Linked DNA regions of Caenorhabditis elegans. The protein of the gene in region 1 purifies or fractionates together with the protein of each later gene. This does not show direct contact. Each region holds a gene or a part of one and is shown on either strand. Other genes may lie near its edges.

Region 1 (4,774 bases):
ATTGCAAATATCATTGTGATCTACTAGTATTTGATCTACCCACAAAGTTCAGTTTTCACCTGCAAAATGCCAGCATTTTTTGAAAAATTTTTAAAACGGTATTTGGTTATTCTAGTTCTATAGGAGTGATTTTATACATCATCTCAGCTACTTCACGTTCGTTGGCAAGGTTTTGATGGAAAGTTTCCTGCAATCGTCAAATATATTCAACCCAACTCATATTATGGGAAAAATTCTGAGAATGCGTATTGCGCAGCATATTTAACGCCTAAAATATCTCGAAACGAAAACTACAGTAAGACTTTGAGTGACTACTGTATTTGTTGATTTATGGGTTTCAAAAATAATTCCTTTGAAGCCCGTAAATCAACACGTACAGTAGTCATTTAAAGTCTTACTGTAGTTTTCGTTTCGAGATATTTTAGCCGTTAAATATGTATGTTGCGCAATACGCATTCTCACTATCAGAATTTTGGGTTCTCGTTAACTGGCTGTGATATACCCTAGTTACCTTGAATTGAATTAAATACAAAATTTTATTGATGAAAACCAGGGGCATTAATATCTATGAAGAAATAAAAATCGGAGAAATACAATGCTTCATGATACCAGAAAATAGTTGCAGAGTTATAATCAGCATTTATTGATCACAAGTTGACGGAGGATCATCTGAACGTTAATCTCATCTTCATTTTCCTTATCTTTCTCTTTATCCTTTTCGTCATTTGGCTTTTTCGGAATGGCCAATTTGCAAAACCCCTGTAAATAGTACACATTTCAAAATCCTACATCATATCCACACTCACATTATCCAGTATATGCTCAGCCAAAAGTGTGTAGACAAAAGAAAACTGAGTCAGATTCTGACAAGCATGTATGCGTCCATTGCGAACCTGGAAAATGAATAATTACATTTACATGAGGAGGTTACATGTAAAATCATTACCATCTCCAAGCACTTAACCAGATCCAATGTAGCCTGCTCACTGTGAAGAGAAAGATGGGCGGTCTCGAACAAGGCAAATGTGCCAGCTCTTCCACATCCAGACAGACTCATGTATACAGTTGGAGTTGATGGAGAGTACTTGCGAAGAACTGATTGAAGCTGCCAAATCTGTTTCACAAACTTTGGAGATCCATTTCCGGGTATATTGTTGTGAGGCCATGCATTGTAGTGGTGGATGTGAAGGAATCTTGAGGAATTATTGAGAAAATAGGATTCATAGAAACAAAATAGAACTTACGACTTGTAGTCTCCATTACTAACACTAACAACTTTCAGAACCCATCCATCCATAATCTCAACACGTTTGAACTCTCCAACTCTGATTGAACGTTCTTCGAAATTTAGAAAATCTCTGAAACTCGAAAAATAGAAGTGACACGAACAATGATAAAACTTACTGATTCCTCGGAAACACGAAATCCCCTCCCAAACTATCATATTCAGAGTCGGTGAGCAAAAGGAGCACACACTTGACACGTTGCTCTATAATCATTTGCCAGAAGTCTGCAGATGTGTGCGGCAATGGCAGTTGAGTTAGAATTGCCCGTTTCTGAGTGTCAAGTTCTAAATAACTCGCATGGATATACGATGAATCTGACAAGTGAACTTTCGAATGATCAAGGCAAATAACGTCGGCAAATCGATTTTTGTGCATGTTTTTCACGAACTGATGTTTGGTGACGCTAGGTGGGATGTAGCTGACAACTTGTTCAAAATCATTCTAAATTCAAAAGTTTCTAGATATCTTCTAGTACCATTTAAACTCACAGCTGCAATGTTGGCATCCTCATCCACGAATCGCTTTGCCAATCCTAACCATTTTTGCTTCTTCTCTTCTGTATTTCCATCATCATCTTTTTTCTCATCCTTCTTTTCTTCCTTCTTTCCCTCTTTCTTATCATCTTTTTTCTCATCTTTAATGTCCTTATTATTATCCGACTTTTCATCTAACTTGGTCTTTGACTTGCTCTTTTGTAGCTTATCATCCTTATCTGTCTCCTTGGAAGCCTTCGAAGGTGTCACTTTGTTCGGAGACTGTGGAGCTCCAGGAAGTTGTTGGATTGGGAATGACTTACTTCTTTCTAGATTCTTCACGAGAACTACATCGCCAAGTTGCTGAATTGAAATTTAAAAAAAAATTGCCCTCTTTATAGAGCTTTTTTAGCCTAAAAACAGGCTTTTGACTATATATGTTCAAAATACCCAGAAAATCTGGTCTCAAAACCAACCTCATTAACGACTGGTGGCAATGGCTTCACGACCTTCGAACGTGGCTGCTTATGAGCCGTGGATTTAGATTTACCATGTCCTTTCCTTGACTTTCTACGTTTTTTGCCACGACAGCACAAGAATCCGGTCTTCTTCTTTCCGGAACGCGACTTTCTGTGGTGCTTCCCCCCGTGATGTTTGGCATGTTTCTTCTTATGAGGAGTCGGTGTTTGTGGCGCTGAAATTGATTTTTATAATTCTCCTAATTGAGTATTACTCACTTTGCGGGACGTTGTGCTTCACAATTGGTCCATTTGCATCCATGCTTCGGAGTTTCTTGAAATTTGCAAATTTTGTGATATCGGAAATAAATAGTTTTTTTCAACTCTCCCAATTTGCACATTTTTCTTCAAAAGTTTATTTTCTTCTAAGGTCAATTACGCGTGTAATTTTTATTTATCTTTATTATAAGCATGTCTCTTGGAACGTAGTAGTAGAAAATAAGCTTAATATCAGAAAACAAGTACAAAATGTTGTATTTTTTTTTCTTCTTAATATTGGAAGTTAATAGTCTATGCACTCTTTATTGATTCAATAGATAAAACCATCTTCTGCCAATAGAAAAGTTTTATAAAAGTATAAAATTACAAGAATTTAGTAATCCATTTTACAAAATAAAACGTGAAGGTTCAGTTCTTTATATCTGACGTTTGAATTTATTTTTGAGGAGAAATATCACTCAAACTCAAAAATCAATTATTTCGACTTTATTTTCTGCTCATTTATAGCAGCTTGGAGGTAAGTAATTTTCAAAGAATTTTCAAACGTTTCAGTATTTGAATCTGATTTCAGAACTTACAAATGGCTGATAAAAAATCACCGGTTGCTGTTGGTATGACGGTTACACCATCAAATCAAGCAAATTTCGTTGATGCTGGATCAACTACATTGATGAATAAACCCGGTGAACCGACATTCAAATTGGGTATTAATCTGAATAAAGTGAGTTTGGGAGTGTACATTCGAGGTGACCTAGCCTACCTACGCCAATGTATACTGTTGCGGTGTGAATATTCACAATTCCAGACCAAAGAGGCAGGCATACATCAGACACGATCTTTTAAACGTTTTGTAGTTTTATAGTGAATCGTTTTGCGTTCATTTTCAAAAGCTTCAAGAAACTGAAAAAAAACTCAAATTAATTTTAGGTTGAATTCAAGTGCACAGAAGATCGAAAACCAATATCAGTAAACTTGAAGTTGCACAATCCAATGGCAGTCACTGTTTCGTACAAAGTTCGTTGCACGTCTGCTGATATTTTCCGTGTCCAACCTCCACTGGGATTTGTGAAACCGAATGAGACAGTTTCAATTGTGATTTGGTATCAGAATCAAGATAAGAAAGATGCAATTTCAAAGAATCACTATTTCGCTTTTTACCATACCACCAGCGACGGACGAACTGCTCGTGAATTATGGGCAAATTCGAAAGTTGAAGGTTGGATTCAAAATTGGGATATCTAGTTTTTAATGTATTGTTTCAGGTGTTCGTCGTCTCCCTGCTTCGTTTTTGTCGACTAAGTGAACTTTGAATAAAGATATTGTCATTTCAACAATTGTAAAAATTAGAAGGAACTCTTTTCCCGGTCTCGGCGCGATTTTTTTGGAGATTTTTATCTTACGTTCGAGAAGTGCATAATACCAGCTATAAAATGATTAAATTTAGTTCAAAATTCTAAACGCTCTGCACACCAATCCCTAGTTAAAGGCGAAGTACCGAAATTAGACTAAAACCCCTTGTAAATCGTTCATTTTTGTACATTTTTGGGGTGAGCTTCTATGCCTTTCAACAATCCAAGTACAATCACAGTTAAAATGTGATGTGCGCATAGTGTTTTCGGCGTGGAACGCGCGTGGGAGAAAAAGGAACCGGAAAAAAAATTGCGCGCGCATTGTGCGTCGAACTTGAGATGCATTTTGCGAGCATCGCGAACATAAATTATGGACACATTGTGTTCTAAGTTCTCTTCGAAATTCTCCTCGTTGGTGATCTTTGTCATTTTTCTCTATAAGATCCACAGAGCCAATATGGGCCCATCGCAAACCGTTCGCGATAGGCGCATGACGGGTGGTCGCCACATGCGATGCGCGCATTATGGCTCTTCATCCACTATGCGCACATCTCATTTTAACTGTGTATATAATAAGCTCGTGGATTTTTTTGAATTCGTTTCTTAAGAATCGAGAGAGTTTAAGAATAGACTTTTCATTTTGAAAGAAAAAAAACAACAATAGAAAGTGACAGAAACTATGCAGGACACTATGAAAAAAGAAATACTTTGGTCATCAGAAAGAAATTTGTTTTTGTTTTCTTCAATCAAATAAGTTTCTCTGAAAAGTCGTCATCAGTGACTTCATTTCGATCTGTTTCCAACGTCACGCGCACTGGCCTCTTTGGGGAATGGATCTGAAAATAGAAACATTAATGCATATTGTGATAGTATACCATCTACGTCAGAACTATACAACACATACCTCTGCTCGGCCATCACTCTTGACA
Region 2 (5,125 bases), on another chromosome or scaffold:
TTTGCATTTTCCGGAAGAGGTTCGGTGGTGACTAGTGCGTATGTTAACTGAAATTCGAGAATAGTTGCATCGTGTTTTCGGTAATTTTGATCTTACTTTTGGAGCACAACTGAATCGGCTTCTTTTCGTTTCATCGACACCAGGCGCCAAAGGGAAAAAGCTGTAGCTGACTTTTTTGGGATAAGCATTATTGACCTGTAAAAAGAGTTCGTTGAGGCAGAAAGGGAATATTGTATTTTTATCTTCAGTTTTCTATAAAAAAAACGAACCAGTGCTGGCCACATAGGATCTTTTCTGTATGGAACCCAAATGACATCTCCTTTTGAAATATTTTCTGAAATATCGTGAATTTAGTTATGTATTTCCAAAAACTAAACTAACGTGCGATCACAGCGTTTAAATTGGGCATCGTATATAAATTATTCTGAAATTAATGATAAAAGTCGAAAACCCTTGAGAAATTTTCGAAAAATACAAATTTACGGCTAAATTACCAAGAAAAGACGATGAAAGCTCCTGAAATCAAAATTTCAACACTTACTGTTGAATAATAAAAATAAAAACCGTTTATGAATTGAGCAATAAATTGAAAATCACTAAAAACGGGGAAAGTTGATTTGGCGGGGAAACACTGGCACTTGATAATGAAATAGAGGGGAAAAGAATAACCGAGAAATTTTTAAAAAAATTGAGTATTCACAGAAGAAATATGATTTTGAGTATTAAAAAATTATTTTTGGATTAGAAAAAAATCTTCTAAATATTCACGTTCACTATCCACTAAACAGTCTAAAATTAGCGGTATCTAAAAAAACAAATGCAGTAAAAATTAAAGTCAAATCGAAATAGAAAAAAAACAAATCATGAGAAAATATATTTTTGGCGGTAAGAAAAGAGAGAGTTCCATTGATTATCGTTTTAGATGACCCACAAGTTCCAGAACTTTTTCATAAGTGGTGAACGAGACTCCGACTGCAATTGGTCCTTTCAGCCAATTCATGCTCAATCCTTTGTACAATCCTCGTTTCAAACCCTCTGAAAATTTGATGTTTTTGTATTGTTTGCTGTATAGTTTATTCTAGTAAAGCCCACTCAAATATTGTGAATTGTTCGGAGTTTTATGTGTAGCTATAAAAAATTACTTTAGAAATTCCAAAATCTTGTTTTAGAGGTGGACGGCGGCAATTATTGAAAAATCATAAATATTGCGCCATGTTCACCCCATATATTTTTTTTAGAAAATCGTAGTATAGAAAATCACTTAAATTATCCAAAAAGTTGATATTTGCCCAAAAACAAAGTTAGATAACTCGATAATCAGTAATTGACAACTTTCAGATCATTTTTAAGCACTTTCTCAAATTTTTCAACTGGAATTAATTTGATTTTCGGACACATCAAGTGATTTTCTATACTTTGACATTGAATTTCAATTAAAAAAATGTTGGAACAAGCAGGTTATTTTGTTTAATTGCAACCGCCCATTTCTGATAGAACTATATTGTCATTATAGTAAGGTTTAAAAAAAACTATAATTCAAAAAATAGTCATACCCGTATGATAAATATGAATTAGAGCTCTAAGAGGACTCCATCCACTCGGAATTCGCCCTGTTTGCATCCGCCTTCTCACAATATCGAGTGGATATGACGATGATTGACCGATCAAACCAGCTAACATTCCAAATAACATTCGGTAGTAGGAATTTTCCTGAATTATCATACATAATAACGTATAGAAATAATTTCTCAACTCACAACTTCACCTCTATGATCTCGATACATAATCTTAAGAGTTTCGTATGTGAAGAAGGAAGATCCAGCGTATGGTATTACTCCTGTAATCAACAAAAATCGATAAGAAAGATGTTTTTCATAAGAATTCCTACCTAGTATAGTTGGATAAATCCCTCTGTACAATAGTTGAATACCACCTTCTTTATATGTTTTTACAAAAACATGTTTCAAAGAACTATATTGTAATTTTGAAGAGACTGAAAGACGAGCTTTTGCGGTGTCTAAAGGATAAGTGATCATTGTAGCTGTTGTGGCGGCAAGAGAACCTGTTATATATCGTTTCACGGGTGTTCGACTTCTGGAAATTAACATTTTGAAGTTAAATTTGCCACCTCGGTGTGAAAAAAACTTTAAAACTCACCCATTTTCGTCAACTTTCAGCAATTTTTTATACTGCTCGAAGGCTGCGAATTGCATCGACGCGTATGGCACAACACGAGCCATCGTCGCAGAATTTCCACGATACAATGCAAAGAATCCATTTTCCCGATATGTTAGTTTTATGAATTTAATGGCAGATCGGAATGAGTAACCACGTGTACTTGAAACTGGAACATACAAAAAATTAGGTGTATTTTCGATTGTTTCGAAGTGACATAATTCTTACCTTGAAAATAAATTTTAGTTCGATCCAAAGGTGCGATTGTAGTTTTGGCTAAAGCTCCGGCGATCGCGCCTGCGGATAGTGACAAAACGACACTGGGCCTCTGTTTTCCCTGAAAATATGATTTTATGACAGAGATGTTCCAAAATTTATTTAAAATCTTACCTCATTTGAGTCGTGCGGCATGAAAATTGCAAAAAAATCACGAGTCTTTGCTGGTTTTTCTAGTTGGAATGATACAAAGTCAACGATTTATCTGCAAGATCATCATGTGTTATTGGATATAAATTCACATAATTAACATAACAAAACGATTCAAAAACGAAATTTCAAAGAATGTCTAGAGTATCATACTGGGAGCAAAGAATTTCAAGGTGAAGAGTAATGAAAAAAGTGATGTGTGATTTTTCTCTGGCGTCTCTTTATCTTCCTTACCGATTGTTTACACTTAAAATGTGACTGGCTAGTAGTTGATAGGCGAGCGTTCTTTGACGTCTGCGTCTTAACTAGTTTCTCATTGAGATGTTCGTTTTAGACGGTCAAAAATTATAGAAATGAACAAAATATTGTTGTTTTTTAGATTTTTACGATAAAGGCGTGAAAATTTTATAAATTTGATTCAGACGGACTAGTTTTCACACGTTGCAACCGCGCCCCATGGACAAACTGTTTCTAGGCCATCTGTACATTTTTTTTGTAATTTTGTTTTCAAACAATTTTTTCCAGTTTTCAATTCATTTTTTTTAATTTGCTCTTCGTCAATATTTAATTGTGTACTCTAAATTGGTTCAAAATTTAAATATAATTTCAGTTAAAATGGAAGACATCTGGCCAACAATCGAAAGAACAACAATTTCAGCATCTGTGCCCGAGGCTCCAGCGAACTTTGATGAAAAACCTCCGTTCAATCGAACAATCAACGTGTATCCGTTGACTAATTACACATTTGGTACTAAAGATGCACAAGCAGAAAAAGACAAATCAGTTCCAGAAAGGTTCAAACGAATGAAAGACGAATATGAAGTGGTAGGTGTTCTCTAATTGTCTCCAACCGATATCAATTATTTTTTTAGATGGGAATGCGTAGATCAGTTGAAGCGGTGCTTATTGTTCATGAGCACTCACTTCCACATATCCTACTCCTGCAGATTGGTACCACCTTTTATAAATTGTGAGATTAATTCCTATTAAAATCTGAAAGTTTCATAAAAAAATTGCAGGCCGGGTGGAGAATTGGAACTTGGTGAGGATGAGATATCTGGAGTCACACGTCTTCTAAACGAGACACTCGGAAGAACCGATGGGGAGACAAACGAATGGACAATCGAGGATGAGATAGGCAACTGGTGGCGACCAAACTTTGATCCTCCCCGTTACCCGTACATCCCTGCGCACGTGACAAAACCCAAGGAGCACACCAAGCTGTTGCTTGTTCAGTTGCCCTCAAAATGTAAGAGACTGAAAAATTGATAAGATCAAAATTTAAAGTGTCTTCGAATTTTTTCCCTAATTGAAACCTAAGCAGTTTAATGTTTTGTACATTTCAGCAACATTCTGCGTTCCCAAAAACTTCAAACTCGTCGCAGCTCCACTCTTTGAACTTTATGACAACGCAGCCGCCTATGGACCACTGATTTCCTCTCTTCCAACCACTCTTTCGAGATTTAATTTCATTTTCAATGACTCCAACTAAATATTTTTATTATCTGTTACTTTTTGTGTCTTCCTATTTTGTAAATGACCTTGTTCACTCTAATTTTGCTCCTACCAAATCTTCGATTTTGTTATGTATGATCTCTCAAATCGTTAGTATGAATTTAAAAATAAATTATTTCTTCATTTTCATTCGTTGTAATTTAATTCTTCCAACAACAAATATGATGAAACAAATTATGCAGATCGTGGCTTGTATACAAAACACTGTGAAGACGCTTGTTTCGATGGAAATTCTGAAAGAATATTTCATATTACGTAGAAGTTGAGAAAATACGCCATATCTTACGGTCTTGGGTCTCGCCACGCGGACAACCAGTTATTGTAATTGAATCTTGATATTCAAATTAAATGATAATTTCTGACATTATTTTTAAAAAAGTTGCTAGCGTGGTGAGACCCATGCGCGAGACTCATGCCTCTTTAATTTAAGCAGGAAATAAAATACAATAGAAAAGTAACTAAAGAAAACGTAACTAAAGAAGTAACTAAAGAAAGAAAACTAACTTACCTATCAAACTTCATATTGTTAATTCTTGATACGGACGTTGTTGTTTCAGTGTTTCAGATTGAATATAGCGAATTTTTCGTTCAAAATGGATGAACGGCTCACAAAACTTTCAATTCACATTTAGAAATACATTGAGAAATAACAAACTCAAAGAAATAAATGATTACAATTCAATAATTTTTTTGAAATCAGATTCTTTGACGCGAGTGAATCGAAATTAATGATAAGATTCATTTTCGATTTTCTTCAGTTTTCAATCAAATCGGATTGAGCTAGGTAATAATGAAAACCATTTGGAAACGTGCATTTTCAAAGTTGCGAAACATTAAAGGCGCACGGATTTATTTGAATGGGTCTCACCGCAAAAGAAATGGTACTCTGACTCATTTTTCGTGTCGAGACTCATCGGACAAAATCCGTGCGCCTGCAGGTATCCGTTTTAGACTGTGACTGAGATCGTGTCGAGACCCACTCCGAAAACACCACGCTCCTTTAAACTGA

What was found.
Region 2: the proteins of F38H4.4 (region 1) and slc-25A42 fractionate together in Caenorhabditis elegans (co-fractionation; one large-scale study listed by BioGRID). This does not show direct contact.

What each region holds. Positions count from the first base shown.
Region 1 is NC_003282.8:11,846,060-11,850,833, reverse strand, and holds F38H4.4 (Tyrosine-protein phosphatase domain-containing protein), read right to left. Parts: upstream 2,573-4,774; 5' UTR 2,540-2,572; coding exon 2,497-2,539; intron 2,454-2,496; coding exon 2,236-2,453; intron 2,123-2,235; coding exon 1,775-2,122; intron 1,728-1,774; coding exon 1,405-1,727; intron 1,359-1,404; coding exon 1,245-1,358; intron 1,194-1,244; coding exon 947-1,193; intron 894-946; coding exon 807-893; intron 760-806; coding exon 634-759; 3' UTR 525-633; downstream 1-524. Other genes in the region: F38H4.6 (Major sperm protein), read left to right, coding at 3,077-3,217, 3,424-3,712, 3,759-3,799; F38H4.3 (BMERB domain-containing protein), read right to left, coding at 4,592-4,681, 4,750-4,774.
Region 2 is NC_003279.8:8,612,177-8,617,301, forward strand, and holds slc-25A42 (Mitochondrial coenzyme A transporter SLC25A42), read right to left. Parts: upstream 3,018-5,125; 5' UTR 2,836-3,017; intron 2,657-2,835; 5' UTR 2,587-2,656; coding exon 2,566-2,586; intron 2,513-2,565; coding exon 2,404-2,512; intron 2,345-2,403; coding exon 2,158-2,344; intron 2,095-2,157; coding exon 1,889-2,094; intron 1,838-1,888; coding exon 1,758-1,837; intron 1,711-1,757; coding exon 1,554-1,710; intron 1,036-1,553; coding exon 911-1,035; 3' UTR 549-910; downstream 1-548. Other genes in the region: F43G9.4 (PWWP domain-containing protein), read right to left, coding at 1-47, 97-195, 270-334, 382-409; cfim-1 (Cleavage and polyadenylation specificity factor subunit 5), read left to right, coding at 3,217-3,426, 3,474-3,571, 3,621-3,850, 3,948-4,093; F43G9.21 (uncharacterized protein), read right to left, coding at 4,229-4,349, 4,625-4,638.